Callithrix jacchus: one gene and its partners. The protein of the gene in region 3 purifies or fractionates together with the protein of the main gene of each other region. This does not show direct contact. Links are inferred from orthologs where the notes say so. Each region holds a gene or a part of one and is shown on either strand. Other genes may lie near its edges.

Region 1 (5,246 bases), on a different chromosome or scaffold from region 3:
AAAACTTTTCCTCCAAACACTAGAAAAACAATGTAACATTTCCCTATTTCTTGCCCAGATGTAGAACATCATGGAAGATGTAGAATCAAGGCAAAGAGCTCCAAGTCCACCATCAAACAAAGCTAATTTCAAAATCCCCAGCTCAATGTTAGACTAGGAAAGTAGTTCTAGGATGGGCTGGGAATACAGCTAATAAGTGAATAAAATCTCCTCCTAGCACAAAAGTTCAAGGGGTTCGGGAGGAGATGGAGCTTTTCCCCTCTTTGAAAAATATGATTCTATAGAATACTCAATATCCCTGACCAAAAGCACTGATGACAGAGCATGATGAAGATGGCAGAAAAACAGTAAAATAAAACAAGATAGAATAGTATAAAAAGGTACCTAGAAGTTGCAATTTCTAAGCAAATCTTAAGTGTCATTCTAGGTCGTATCTTTATATCTTGGAAGACAAAAAGAAAAGTGGAACATAAATTAAAATGCAAAGGAATAAACTGCCAATCTCTATTTCAAAGCTCTAAAATGACTGATGACAAAACAGTAAACTAGCCTTTTTGTTATTCCAGGAAAACACAATTTCACCAAACCAAGCCTTTAGGAGAAAGTCCCTCAAGATCATGAAAGACACCAGCTTCCCTTTAAATTAAACCACCATCCCAAAGTTCAATTAACAAAAGAAAGTGTTAACAAGATTCAACATGTAAACAAAGAATGAGGCTAGCCTTCCTTAAAACGGAAGGCTTGAACCTAATATGAAATTCCTCAGAAAGCTCCCAGTTCTAAACACACACACACACACACACACACACACACACACATTTTCTCCCCCCCCATAAAGATTCCACATTTCCCACTCAATAAAAAACCCAGTAAAATCATTTCAATTCTGCAAAGCAAACAGTGTCAAAATTACTCAAGACAAATGCATCTTCAGAGCCATCAAAGAAGTCATTTATACCATCAGGAAAGTCACAAAACCAAAACAAACAGCAAACCCATTGTAGAGAAAAAACTCAGCTACTGTTCTGACAACACAGAATCCATTTCAGGCTGCATAAAACATAACAAGCAAAATAAATCCAAGGTATATGCAAAATGCCATTGCCTCCTCTTTTGTTTCGGGCACAATGTAACAAGGACAGGCTGTCTGAGACTCTGCTCCTGCTGATACAGTATTGCTACTTAAACCTCCCTCCTCAAGGTCACAGCCAATTTCAACTCTGGAATAAAAGGCAGATAGTGACAGCAATGGTTTGGGTTATCACTGGCAGAAAAGCAGAGTGTAAAAGTTTATGAGCTCATCAGGATTGTTGTACCATTACATCAGAGGCAATTATAAATGGCCAAGAGCAGGAGATGGGGAGCCAATCAGATCACAGATAGGATGTCAACCTAAGACCAACTGTCTCCTGGCTTTGACAGAAGGATTTTACCTCCATAATTCAAATCCCAAACCAAAGCAATCTGCACTTACTACTCCAATCACTCAGCTGTTTACCAGCACTTCCAGGGAGAAGCCCAGGCCACTGGGCCGGCGGAGCCTAAGACAGGAGATGGCCCGGGCTGCCCTAGGTGAACCGCAGCCGGCCTCTAGCAGCTCCCAAGCAGTCCCCTGCCCTCCCTCGAGGTCCCCCCGAGGTCTAGGGGCCCTCCTTGAAAGCACGGAGGCGGGGGGCGGCCCAGAGGAAGGCCGGGAGACGGAGAGGAGCGGCAGGTGAGCAAAGAAAAACGTTCACTCAACTCCTGGGCTCCTACCACTGCCTACACTTCTTACCTGAGCCCCCAGCACCCCCTCACCCCCGGCCAGGCCCTTCCCCGCACACTCTGCCCCGCATCCCCATGACGACCCCTGGAGTTCAAAGGAACCAGGGGAAAGGAAAAAGAGGAGCAGACATTTCTAGGAAAGCCCGACACAAAGCCTAAAGGAGGGAAGGAGAGGAAGGCAGACAGGCAGCCATTTTAAGAAAGAAGAGCCAGACAATGGCAGCTCCCCAGCAGTGGGGGCCCGGGACTGAGGGGAGCCCAAGGCTGTGGCCCGCTCACCGCAGCCACCACCCACCCCCAGGACCACGTTCGCCCCAGCCCCCTCCCCACTCAGCTGTGTACCTGAGGGGTCCGGGCGAGCGGCTGCCCCCCGCCGCCACTGCTCCCGGGGCTCATGGGCGCGTGGTGGCTCCTTTGTTGGGCCCCTCCCGAAGCGGCTGCCGCCGCCGCCGCTGCCGCCGCCGCAGCCCCCCAACACTGCGAGGCCATGTCCGCCGGGCCCTTGCCAGCGCCCCCGTCCTGGGGCCCGCCGCCGTAGTCGGCCCCGGGGTAGCCCTGGTAGCCCCGGGCAGAGCTGGGCGACGTGAGCAGTTGGTTGAGGGTGGGGGTGGCGGTGGGCTGAGGGGTTCCCCCGCCGGCCGCGGAGGGGCCGCCTCCCCCCATGGCCCCGAAGCGCTGCTGAGCGAAGGACGAAGACGACGAGGAGGCGGAGGCGCTGGAGGAGGGAGGCGGCTTGGAGCCGGCAGCCGCCGCCGCCGCGCCGGAGCCCGGAGTGCCACCTCTCGGGGAGCTCAGCGCGTAGGCCGGGGCGGGCGGGGGGTAGGCGCTGCGGTTGGGGTAGTAGGAGTTGTACTGGTGGTTGGGGAAGCCGTGGTCGTGCGAGTTCTGCTGGGGCCCCGCGTAGGGCTCCAGGCCCCCGCCGCCGCCGCTCTGCAGCGCTGCCAGGCCAGGGCTTTGTTGTCCGCCATGTTGTTGGTGGAAGACGGCGGCCGCGGCGGCGGCGACGGCAGACGGGCTCCGGCCGTAGGGTTGCCCGAAGCCGTAGGCTGGGGGCGGCAAGGCGGCCGCGGCTGAGTGAGGAGGCGCCCCCACCCCATCGCTGCTGCCGCCACCGCCGCCGCCGGGCGGCTCCGTGAGGTTATTGTTCAGGGCGGGCCTAGGGCCCGCGTTCCCGTTTGAGTTCTTCAGGTCCGGCTCCGCGCCGGGCCCGCCGCCGCTGCCGGCTCCGCCGCTGCCGCCACCCCCATTGCTCTCGGCCCCGTCCTGCAGCTCCTTTCCCAGCGGCTGCGGAGGCCCCACGGCGGGACCCTCGCTTTCCTGCCCGGCGGCTGCCTTCATTTCCCCGCGCTCGGCCGCTGCCGCCGCCGCCGCCTCGCCCCCCGCCTCCTCCCGCTGCTGCTGGTCGGCTTTCTTCAGCTCCGAGGGCGGCGGCGGCGGCGGCGGCGGCGGGTTGCCCAGGCTGCTGGCGGCGGCGGGGGCGACCTGCGCGGCCATGATCCCCGCTGTCTCGTCCGCGGAGAGACCCGGCCCTGTCTTCGTCTTCTCCCCCCCCCTCCCACCCCGCCCCGGGGCCGAGTCCCCCGGGCTGCCCTCCCCACCCGCCCGGGCGGGCCTCGCGGGGCTCCGCTGCTGCGCTGCGCTCGCTCCTCTCCCCCCCGCCCCGCCGGCTCAGGCTCCGGGCTGGCGGCGGCGGAGGAGGAGGAGGCGGCGGCGGCCGAGGCGCCGGCGGCTCAGCTGCTCCCGGCTCTGTAGGCTCGGGACCCGGCTCTCCTGGCTCATTCCCCCCAAGCCCTTGCCTGGGAATGAGGGGGGCGGTGGAGGCTCCGCTCCCCAGGGCCTGGCCCCGCTGTGACTCTCCGCTTTCTGCTGCCGGAGAAAGGAGGAGGGAGGGAGGGAGGGAGGCGAGGGGGGAGGGGGCGGGGAGGGACGGAGGGAGGGAGCGGGGGGAGGGGGACCCGGGACGGGCGGGCTGGAGGGCGCGCGGCAGCAGCCGGGGTGCCGAGTGCCAGAGTCGGAACGCGCGCCGGGCCGGGCGCCCAGCCTCCCCTCGCCAGCCGCAGCTCGAGCCGAGGCTGCTGCGCGGCAGCGGGCTAGCGAGCAAGCGGTCGGCCGGACTCAGCGGCTAGAGCGCCCCACTCTCCTCCGAGTCCCCCTCACTCCGACACGAGGCTCAGCACTGCCATTTTACCCAGCGCCGTCGCGGCCGCCTGGCAAACCCGGAGTGGAGAGCGGAGCCGGCGCAGGCCGTGGAACGGACTCGCTCCCTTCCCCTCACAAAGGAGGAGGGGAGAGAACGAGCAGCGGCGGCGGCAGGCCCTCAGCCGCTTTCGCTAGGCAGCGCCGCCGCCGAAGGCTTCGGAGAAAACCCGGCCCGGAGCCCGCGCCTCTGGAGCCTGCGTCGCCTCCCTCCCGGCGTCCCTATCCTGATCTGTCCCCTGCCGGCCGTACCGAAGGGAGCGGGCAGCGTGAACTTTACCCGCGGCTGCAAAATTGGCCAGAGCCCGAGACCGCGACCGCCTCGGCCCAGCCCTGACCCCCTGGCAACCGGCCCGTTCCGTTGGCTGCTGCTTAGCACCTCTACAGCACTTTTCAAAGCCTTCTACTGACCCCGCTAAAGACCCAGCTGAGTGAGCCCTGATTCTTACCCCTTTTGCAAGCCCAAAGGAATGACTGATCATTGTTTGGATGATTCGTTTCCCACTCGCCTGCCCTCATTCGCCGGTCCTCACAAGGCTCTGGGGGCTTGAGGTTCGGATTATCCCCATTTCACAGAATTGAAAGAGAGGGGAGGGAACTCCCTGTCACTTAAAGTCAGAGGGTAGAGGAGGGTGACTTTAAAAGAAGTGGAGTTACCAAAGCTGCCTTCGGTCTACTTGCCTTAAAAAAAATTGTGAGCACATTCAACAATGATACCAGAATATCAAAATGGATTTGAAGTCAAAACTGATCATCTCACCTCTGACTTAAAATGGAGGCCACTGAAGCTGTTTTAGGGGCACAGAACAGTCATCCAGCAGGAGAACCCAAACCCTGTTCTCACTCTCTTAAGATAACTTAGCCCACAATGACCAGTAGCCCTAGTCTCCAAAGACAGTACCTTGTAAGACTGAAAAGCCACAGAAGAGGCTCCAGGGACTGCAGGAACCTGAGTGTTCAAACAATTATCAGAAGAGAGATGCACAAAATGGAAACCATTTTCTCCTTAAAGAACAGGCACAGTCCAACAAGTCACTTAGAAAATGCATGCTTCTCAGATTTGTTTTCTATCCTGTAGTGTAAAGATAGTTTAAAGTTTACCATTACATTCTAAGAGACCCCGATTGAGTTGGGTATAAGGCCAGGTTTATCTGAACAGACCAAGGCATACACAGAAAGCTCCAGTGTTGTCCTGATCTACAGTCCCCACCAAATCCCAGGAGCAGCCTTTTCTTCCTCAGGCTGACTTGGAATGTTCTGACTTGACAGGCTACGAAAGCTAGAGG
Region 2 (3,994 bases), on a different chromosome or scaffold from region 3:
AGGAGAGAGGGCTCTAGACCCAGACCACCACAGACAGACAGAACTGGGTATAGCATGCAATGGCTGGGTAGATGAATGAGGTACCCACAATGTTCCTTCTGTTCCCAGCACCCTCTTCCACTTCATACTGAGAAAAACTGATAGAAGGGAGACTCTAAATGGGGCATTTGAACGTGATGGGAACAAGCGAAGGGATGTCCATCAATCATCATGCAAACAGCTGCCTTTCAAGTTTACAACTGAGATGCTCTGTGCCACAGGATTGCTCCATGACCCACCAGTGAAAGGCCCCAAAATCACCCCAAAGGTGGCAGGTGCCAGGCTGGGGAATGGTGGAGGACAGCCAGAGAGGCCCTTCCTCCTATATTCTAATTTTTCCAGAGTGTGGAAACTCTACTACCTGACCTCTTTCCCACCTGCCCACTCGCCCTCCCTCCATGTGGATCCCGCTCCCTCACCCTTCTCCCCTCCTGGCCCCTTCTCACCTGGCAGTGGGCTGGCACTGGGCAGGAGGTTGCCCTGAACAGCTGCCACAATGGCAGGGCTTTGGGCTGCGGCGGATCCGAGCCCCGGCCCGAGAGGCAAGGAAGATGGCATGGTGGTGGTCGCCGGCAGGTTAGGATGTAGAGGGTTCGCCATGGACACAGGCAGGTTAGGTGGGGGGAGAGTGCCCGGGGCGAACGGGAGATGGTGGTGATGCCCATGCAGGTTAGGAGGAGGGGGAAGGTTAATACTGATGGAGTCAGCTAGACTACCAAATGGGATGATGGATGGAGCAGGAGGAGGAGGAGGAGGCGGCATGCCAAAAGGCAAACCCAAAGGAGCATTACCCGCCACGCCTGGGTGCCCGCTGCCTGGCACTGCCCCTGGCATCATTGAGGGAGGAGTTTGTTGGTTGGGGAACGGTGAGGGGCCTGAGAACAAAGATGAGAGATGGAGAGAGTTAGGTATAAAATTTTGCTTAACAACTCACTTTTACAGCAAGGATAATCTAGCCATTCCTTGGCATTATCTTCCCTTTTACTGACATTAGAGTAAGTGAATAAAATTCCAGAGCTCTCGAGTTTGGGGGGGGATCCCTGCTGGTTTAGAGGCCTAACAAACGCATCTTGTATTCACTTTGAGGGGAACTGGGACATTCACCTGGATCCCTCTAACCAGCAAAAGTTCTGGAACACAACACTTACCATGGGGTCCAGGGGGGGGAACCCCTGGTGGGACTGCCCCAGGCTGGGGGGCTCCAGCTGGTTGCTGCTGCTGTGGCCCTGCAATTGACCCTGCCTGCCCAATCTGTTCAGAAGGGCCCAAGCTTCCTGGAGGGGCCCCACTGCCAGCAGGAGCAGGGACTACAGAGGCTGGAGCCACAGCCAAGCCATGGACTGCGGGTGGCCCAGCAGCCCCCGTTGGGGGGATAGGCTGGGAGCCTGGGGGTAGGGCTGGCGGTGGCTGCTGCTGCTGTTGATGCATCTGTTGGAAGTGCTGCTGCCGGGCCCTCATCTCCGCATACTTCAGCTGCTCCATGTGGAAGGCTTGTCTGTCGGCCAGGAGCTGCTGCCTCTGATACTCCAGCTGCCAGTGCCAATTGAGTATTGTTATCCAATTTTCAACAGAGCCCAAAGGCAAATGCCTTGAACCCTGCTTTGTTGTCTTCTGAAAGATCCCACCTCTCAATCAGAAGGTTCCCCAAATCTACATCTTACACTTGTACTTCCTCTGCCCTCCCCACTGTACTTCGTGCAAATTCCCATGACCTTTATGTCTCCTGGGTGCTCACATGGTTTCTTATTGACTTTATCTGGCCTAGCTGACTTCAGCTCCAAAGCTTTGAACTTGCCATTGCCTTGATTTGGAAAATGCTTCCAGTTCTTCTTATCAATTCAAGTTCTTTTCTTCAAAATTCACTAAAAACTCACTATTTTGAGACGGAGTTTTGCTTTTGTTACCCAGGCTGGAGTGCAATGGCGCGATCTCGGCTCACCGCAACCTCTGCCTCCTGGGTTCAGGCAATTCTCCTGCCTCAGCCTCCTGAGTAGCTGGGATTACAGGCACATGCCATCATGCCCAGCTAATTTTTTTTGTATTTTTAGTAGAGACGGGGTTTCACCATGTTGACCAGGATGGTCTCGATCTCTTGACCTTGTGATCCACCCGCCTTGGCCTCCCAAAGTGCTGGGATTACAGGGGTGAGCCACTGCGCCCGGCCTTTTTTCATTTGTTTTTAAGACGGGGTTTCACCATGTTGGTCAGGCTGGTCTTGAACTCCTGACCTCAGGTGATCCACCCGCCTTGGCCTCCAGAGTGCTTGGATTACAGGCATGAGCCACCACACCCGGCCAAAACTCACTTTTCTTAGGAAGCTATCCCAGAACAATTCGCTCGCCTCTGAGCTTTAGCTTGATTCTATTATCTCAGGACTTAGATACTTGATCTGCAATCTCTTAATATGAATTTGGCAGATACTTTAAACCTTCTTAACTGTTTCTAATGTCTCCATATTGTTTATTCATTTGATGTCTCCAATTAAACTATAAGTTCTCTGAGGTCCCTATCTTCTGTTTTGTTTTCTTCTTCTTTTTTTTTTTTTTTTTGAGGTAGGGTCTCACTCTGTCACCCAGGCTGGAGTGCAATGGTGCAAACATGGCTCACTGCAGCCTTGACCTCCTGGGCTCAAACGATCCTCTCATCTCAGCCTCCTGAGTAGCTGGGACCACAGGCTCTCACCACCATGCCCAGCTAATTTGTTTACTTTAAAAATTTTTTTGGTTTCAGAGATGGCCTGCCCAGAGAGGAGGTATCTAGAGAGGTAGTCAGGCTACAATAGCTATGCTGTGTTGCAGTGAGCTTCCTGGTGGCTTTAATTAAAAAAAAAAGAAAAAGAAAAAAAATTTAAAAGTTTTTTGGGGGGACTGGGTGTGGTGGCTCATGCCTGTAATCCCAGCACTTTGGGAGGCTGAGGCAGGTGGATCACCTGAGGTCAAGAGATAAAGACCAGCCTGGCCAACATGGTGAAACCCTGTCTCTACTAAAAATACAAAAATTAGCCAAGCATGGTGGTGCACACCTGTAATCTCAGCTACTCAGGAGGCTGAGGCAAGAGAATTGATCCCACCCAGGAGGCAGAGGTTATAGTGAGCCAAGATGGTGCCGCTGCACTCCAGTGTGGGCAACAGAATGAGACTCTGTCTCAAAAAACAAACCAACAAACAAAAATTAGCTGGATATGGTGGTGGGCGCCTATAATCCCAGCTACTGGGAGGCTGAAGCAGGAGAATCGCTTGAACCTGGGAGGTGGAGGTTGCAGTGAGCCATAATTGCACCACTGCACTCCAGCCTGGGTGAAACAGTGCGACTCTGTCTCAAAAAAAAATTTTAAATCCTAGCTCGTTGGGAGCCAGAGGCAGTCAAATCACCTGAGTCTAGGAGTTCAAGAACAGCCTGGCAAACATGGAGAAACCCCGTCTACTAAAAATACAAAATTAGCCAGGCATGGAGGTGCATGTCCGTGATCCCAGCTACTCAGGAGGCTGAGGTAGAAAAATTGCTTGAACTTGGGAGGCAGAGGTTGTGGTGAGCCAAGACCGTGCCATTGCATTCCAGTCTGGGCAGCAAGAGTGAAATTTCATCTCAAAAAAAAAAAAAAAATTGTAGAGACAAGGGTCTCACTTTGTTGCCCAGACTGATCTTGAACTCCTGGGCTCAAGCAATCCTCCTACCTCAGCCTACCAAAGTATTGGGATTACAGATATGAGCCACTGTGCCCAGCCCCTATCATTTCTTTCTTTCTTTTTTTTTTTTTTTTTTTTTGAGGTAGAGTTTCACTCTTGTTACCCAGGCTGGAGTGCAATGGCACGATCTTGGCTCACTGCAACCTCCACCTCCTGGGTTCAGGCAATTCTCCTGCCTCAGCCTCCTGAGTAGCTGGGATTACAGGCATGCGTCACCGTGCCCAGATAATTTTTTGTATTTTTAGTAGAGATGGGGTTTCACCATGTTG
Region 3 (4,728 bases):
CATGCCTATAATTCCAATACTTTGGGAGGCCAAGGCAGATGGCTAGCTTAAAGTAAGGAGTTTGAGACCAACCTGGTCAACATGGCAAAACGCCATCTCTACTAAAATACAAAAATTAGCTGGGTGTGGTAGCAGGTGCCTGTCATCCCAGATACTAGGAAGGCTAAAGCAGGAGAACTGCTTAAACCCAGGAGGTGCAGGTTGCAGTGAGCCAAGATCACACAACTGCATTCCAGCCTGGGTGACAGAGTGACACTCCATCTAAAAAAAAAAAAAAAAATCGTGCTTCACCTAGAAGCAATGGACCCTCTAAGAGAGCACAGAGAAAAACATTCTGGAATAATACTAGCTTAGTTGCTGAATTAAAACAAACAAAAATAAATAATAAACAGAAAAATCTTTAATGTAAAGTATGCAGCTTATTTTTATAAAAGCTAAGAAAATGTTTTATAGTGAAATGAATATTAAAACTTCATTAACAAAACTCTTAAATAATCCTCTAGTATCTAGTAAAAAAAAAACTTCATTAATAAAACTCATCATGGATAATGTATTTACTCAAAGATAACATATAATTAAAATGCTTTTAAGAAGAAATTCATATGATTAAAAAAGTACAAGCTGCCAGAACACAGTATAACTTTCTTTTTTGGAAACTGTACTCTACTTTTGTGTTCTTTTGACTCTGAAATACCAAAATTTTGATGAAGATTTTTATTTGTCCTAAAGAGATTTTTTAAAACAATGAAAATTTCCTCAATGATTTACACCATATTTTCTTTTTGAAAATTGTCTTTTATTTCTTCAGATTTAATACCTGGTCATTTTTGTATAGTCTATTTTCTATTATGAAATTCATAAACTGACCAGGTGCAATGGCTCACGCCTCTAATCCCAGGACACTGGGAGGACAAGGCAGGTGATCACTTAAGCAGGCATTCAAGACCAGCCTGGGCAACAGATGGAGACATTGTTTCTATTCTTTCAACAAAATACAAAAAATAAAAATAAAAAACAAGAAATTTATAAACGACGAGAACAAGGCAAAAAAGTGATATAACTAATGTACTACAGTAAAAGGAAGAGCTACACATTCTTACAAAATATGACATTTTTATAAGTTAAAGTTGGTCCCTAAGAACAAAAAATTTCTATAAACGCCTCAGTACTTTTCTCCAAAAAGTCAATATACAACACTGCTGCATGCATTAGCTTTTTTTCTTCTTCAAATCTTAATATGTCATGTCAAACCCTGCTCCAGCAACACTCATTTTTTTTTTTTTTGTGCACACCATACCTTTTCTTAACCACAAGTTTCTAAGAAGTGTGCCATCATTACTGGAGTTGCTGCCAGAATCATGAATTTTCCTGTTCTCTCTCCTGGTAACCAAACTGTATAGAGAAACACCTTAACTCCCTTTTGATCTAGCACTGACTGGATCTTGCTGTTGTATGGACTCTTAATTGACCTAATAAAAACAAAAAAATAATTCCACCATAGGCATTAAGTAACTTTGGGGGTAAAAAATGTTACAAGTGCCATTTGTGAAGCTACAATGTTGACAACTTTTTCTATTATCTCCTTTTGTTTTCAGTATATCTCACTGAAATTATTTTTAAAATCTGTATATTTTTAAATTCTATGACTTCATCATAAGGAATTATCAACAAATTAACATTAAATTCTTTTATCTGGGTACATTTTAGTGCTTTTTAATAATCAAAATCTAGAAAATTTTATTCCAAATACATTTAACTCTATCTTACAGTCTTAACCGTAAGACAGAATTACCATATTTTGTAACTAAAATAACGTTAAGCTGGAAATATGCCAAATGTTTTAACAGACAATTTACAGAACAGAGTGCCACTTACTGGCTTTTAGTTATTATTCACAGAATACTTAGAAACATAGCACAATTTCATTCTGAGATTGGTAATAAACTTTAATGGACTTATGCCATTCTAAGAGTAGTACAGCAGCACCCCACTGAACATTCTAATAGCAAATTATTTTAGAATTACCTTTTAATGCTAAAACATAGCATCAGAAAACATCCATATAAATCAAGGGAAGTTCATATAAATTAATACATCATTTAAACTGTAAGGCAGGTATTTATTTTCTCAACTTTCTAGCTCTAAACCAAATGTTTGGTTCTTCACTGATCAGCTTTAAAAAACAATTCTCAACAACACAGAACCTCAAATAAACTGTTCAAAAGACATAAAAATAAATAAGCTTAAAAAGCTAAATTGAGCAATTTAATTCATACATATAAAAAAAGATTTAAACTAGTTTCAAACTCAACATTCCATTTTTCTGGGCATGGCTGTCCCTCATTTTAAACTTATACTTTTATGAATCAGCTAAGAACCTGATAATCATTTTACTTTCAAAGGCCAATATAGTACTCTAGTCAAGAAGGACATAAAGCTTAGTTACCTTGGTTTGGCTGCATATTCATATTTGGTCTGGGACCATAGTTCCCCATTGGTTGCCCTTGACTCATTGTCATCTGATTCTGTACTGGCATGCTCTGTGATGATGACACGGAATGGTTGTAACCTCCCATGGATCCATGGCTACTTGAAGGCATATTCATGGAACTGTTTGTCATATTGAGTTGATTGGGTCCAGGTCCCTGCATAGGCATATGGTTAGGCCCTTTGAAGAAAAATGATCAGAAGCAAAATATGAAAATTAAATAGATGGTCCATACAAAGTACCTGGAAAGGGTATTTTTTTTTTTTTTGCATTATTATAGTAATACCAAACAAGAGTTAATCAGTAGCAAAGTAAATGGTTTATAGGAATGACAGTAAATACTGAGAGTATTCCCATTTTACAGATTAATAAACGAATGTTTTTGAAACGTCATGAACACTCTGAAAATGAAGGGAGGACTAGCTTCTTTAAAATACAGCAAAACATATCATAAGGTTGGAGTAATTAACTGTGAACACAGGCGGGGCGCAGTGGCTCACGCCTGGAATCCCAGCACTTTGGAGGCTAAGGCAAGTGGATCACAAGGCCATGAGTTCAAGACCAGCCTGGCCAAGATGGTGAAACCCCATCTCTACTAAAAATACAAAAGTTAGCCAGGTGTGGTGGCGGGTGCCTATAATCCCAGCTATTTGGGAGGCTGAGGCAGGAGAATCACTTGAACCTGGGAGGCGGAGGTTGCAGTGAGCCAAGATCGCGCCACTGCACTTCAGCCTGGGCAACAAGCAAGACTCTGTCTGAAAAAAAAAAAACCTGTGAACATAATGAATAGATTAACAGACTGAATGACTAGAACAGAGTCTAAAAACAGACCCAAATACATGGCTGAGTAACTAATAAGTATCAGTGAGCAATAGAAAACTAATTCAGTAAATGGTGTTGTGACAACTTGGGAGCCATTTGGAAAAAAAAAACAAGTTGGATCACTGCCTTACTTCTTCCACTAACTAATTCTAGATGAACAGAAAACTTAATCCATAAAAGAATTTCAAAAAGGAGAATTTTTAAAATAATAATGGAGGGACCTTCTTAAGCAGGCCAGAAAACCCAGAGCTATAAAACACTGAAAAATTACACTATATAAAGTTTAAAAATTTGCACATGACACGAAACTCAAAAATAATAAAAAGGTAAGTAAGAAAATATTATTTATAAGACATATCACAGACCAAATTAATTACTTAACATATGAAGTAAGTAAAACACCACCACCAGTAAAACAATGGGCAAAGGACATAATGAGGGAATGACTAGTTCACAGAAAAACTACAAAAAGGTTCATCAATACTAAAAGATTGATTGCTTCACTTAAAATAAGAAGGCAAATTAAAACTATGAGACCCAGCGTTCACCTTTCAGATTCTCAAAAATCAAGTTTAATCTAACTGTATTATGAAGAAAGAAGCACTTTTGTCCATTGTTAAAGGAATATAAATCTTACTTATATTCCGTGGGGAATCAAGCTTATGAAATCAAGGGTGGGATCAAGCTTAAGAGAGACAAACAACAATTCAAAGGAAGTAGTTGTCCCTCAATATCTGTAGGAGGCTGGTTCCAGAACCATCTACAGATTCCAAGATCCATAAATGCTCATGTCCCTGACATAAAATGGTAACAGTATTTCCATATAACTTATGTACATCCTCTCATTTACTTTAAATCCCTACATTGTATGTACTACCTAACATAATATAAATGCTATGTAAATAGTTGTTACACTGTACTAAGGAATTATGACCAAAAAAAGTATGTACATGTTCAGTACAGTTTTGTTTTTCCAAATATTTTCAATCCATGGATGCGAAATTCATAAATGCAGAAGTGATGGATATTACTATTTTTATACAAAGCAATTTGTCACTAACTATCAAATCTAAAAAATACATATACCTTTAACCCAGCAATTACAGTTCCAGAAATTTATGCTATAGATATACAAGTTTTTGTGTGCGTGTATACTGACACACACAAAATATATATATATGCACATATATATATTTTTACAGGCAAATTCATGGCAGTATAATTCACAATAACAAAAGACTAGAAGCCTATATTTCCACCATAAATGTTCAAATAAAGTTGTAAAACAGAACGTGACACAGAGACCAAAAAGAATAAGGTATCTATTTACATACAGAATAAAATAATGGTATCCAAGACAGATCTTTAAGAGAGAAAGAAGACACATAATACTATTTAATGAGTGCTATCCTTTGTAT

The links.
Region 1: the proteins of SS18 (region 3) and ARID1A purify together in Homo sapiens (affinity purification with mass spectrometry; 7 studies listed by BioGRID and IntAct, counting the BioPlex papers as one, with this or other methods). This does not show direct contact. The link is inferred for Callithrix jacchus from reciprocal best matches to the Homo sapiens genes SS18 and ARID1A.
Region 2: the proteins of SS18 (region 3) and SMARCC2 purify together in Homo sapiens (affinity purification with mass spectrometry; 3 studies listed by BioGRID and IntAct, counting the BioPlex papers as one, with this or other methods). This does not show direct contact. The link is inferred for Callithrix jacchus from reciprocal best matches to the Homo sapiens genes SS18 and SMARCC2.

Annotation. Positions count from the first base shown.
Region 1 is NC_133508.1:63,351,344-63,356,589, reverse strand, and holds the start of ARID1A (AT-rich interactive domain-containing protein 1A), read right to left. Parts: upstream 3,633-5,246; 5' UTR 3,259-3,632; coding exon 2,107-3,258; intron 1,267-2,106; exon of another isoform or gene 1-1,266. UniProt on the Homo sapiens protein: Involved in transcriptional activation and repression of select genes by chromatin remodeling (alteration of DNA-nucleosome topology).
Region 2 is NC_133510.1:63,498,932-63,502,925, reverse strand, and holds part of SMARCC2 (SWI/SNF complex subunit SMARCC2), read right to left. Parts: intron 2,541-3,994; exon of another isoform or gene 1,570-2,540; coding exon 1,188-1,569; exon of another isoform or gene 915-1,187; coding exon 486-914; exon of another isoform or gene 109-485; intron 1-108. UniProt on the Homo sapiens protein: Involved in transcriptional activation and repression of select genes by chromatin remodeling (alteration of DNA-nucleosome topology).
Region 3 is NC_133514.1:69,286,613-69,291,340, forward strand, and holds part of SS18 (protein SSXT), read right to left. Parts: intron 2,669-4,728; coding exon 2,447-2,668; intron 1-2,446. UniProt on the Homo sapiens protein: Appears to function synergistically with RBM14 as a transcriptional coactivator. Isoform 1 and isoform 2 function in nuclear receptor coactivation. Isoform 1 and isoform 2 function in general transcriptional coactivation.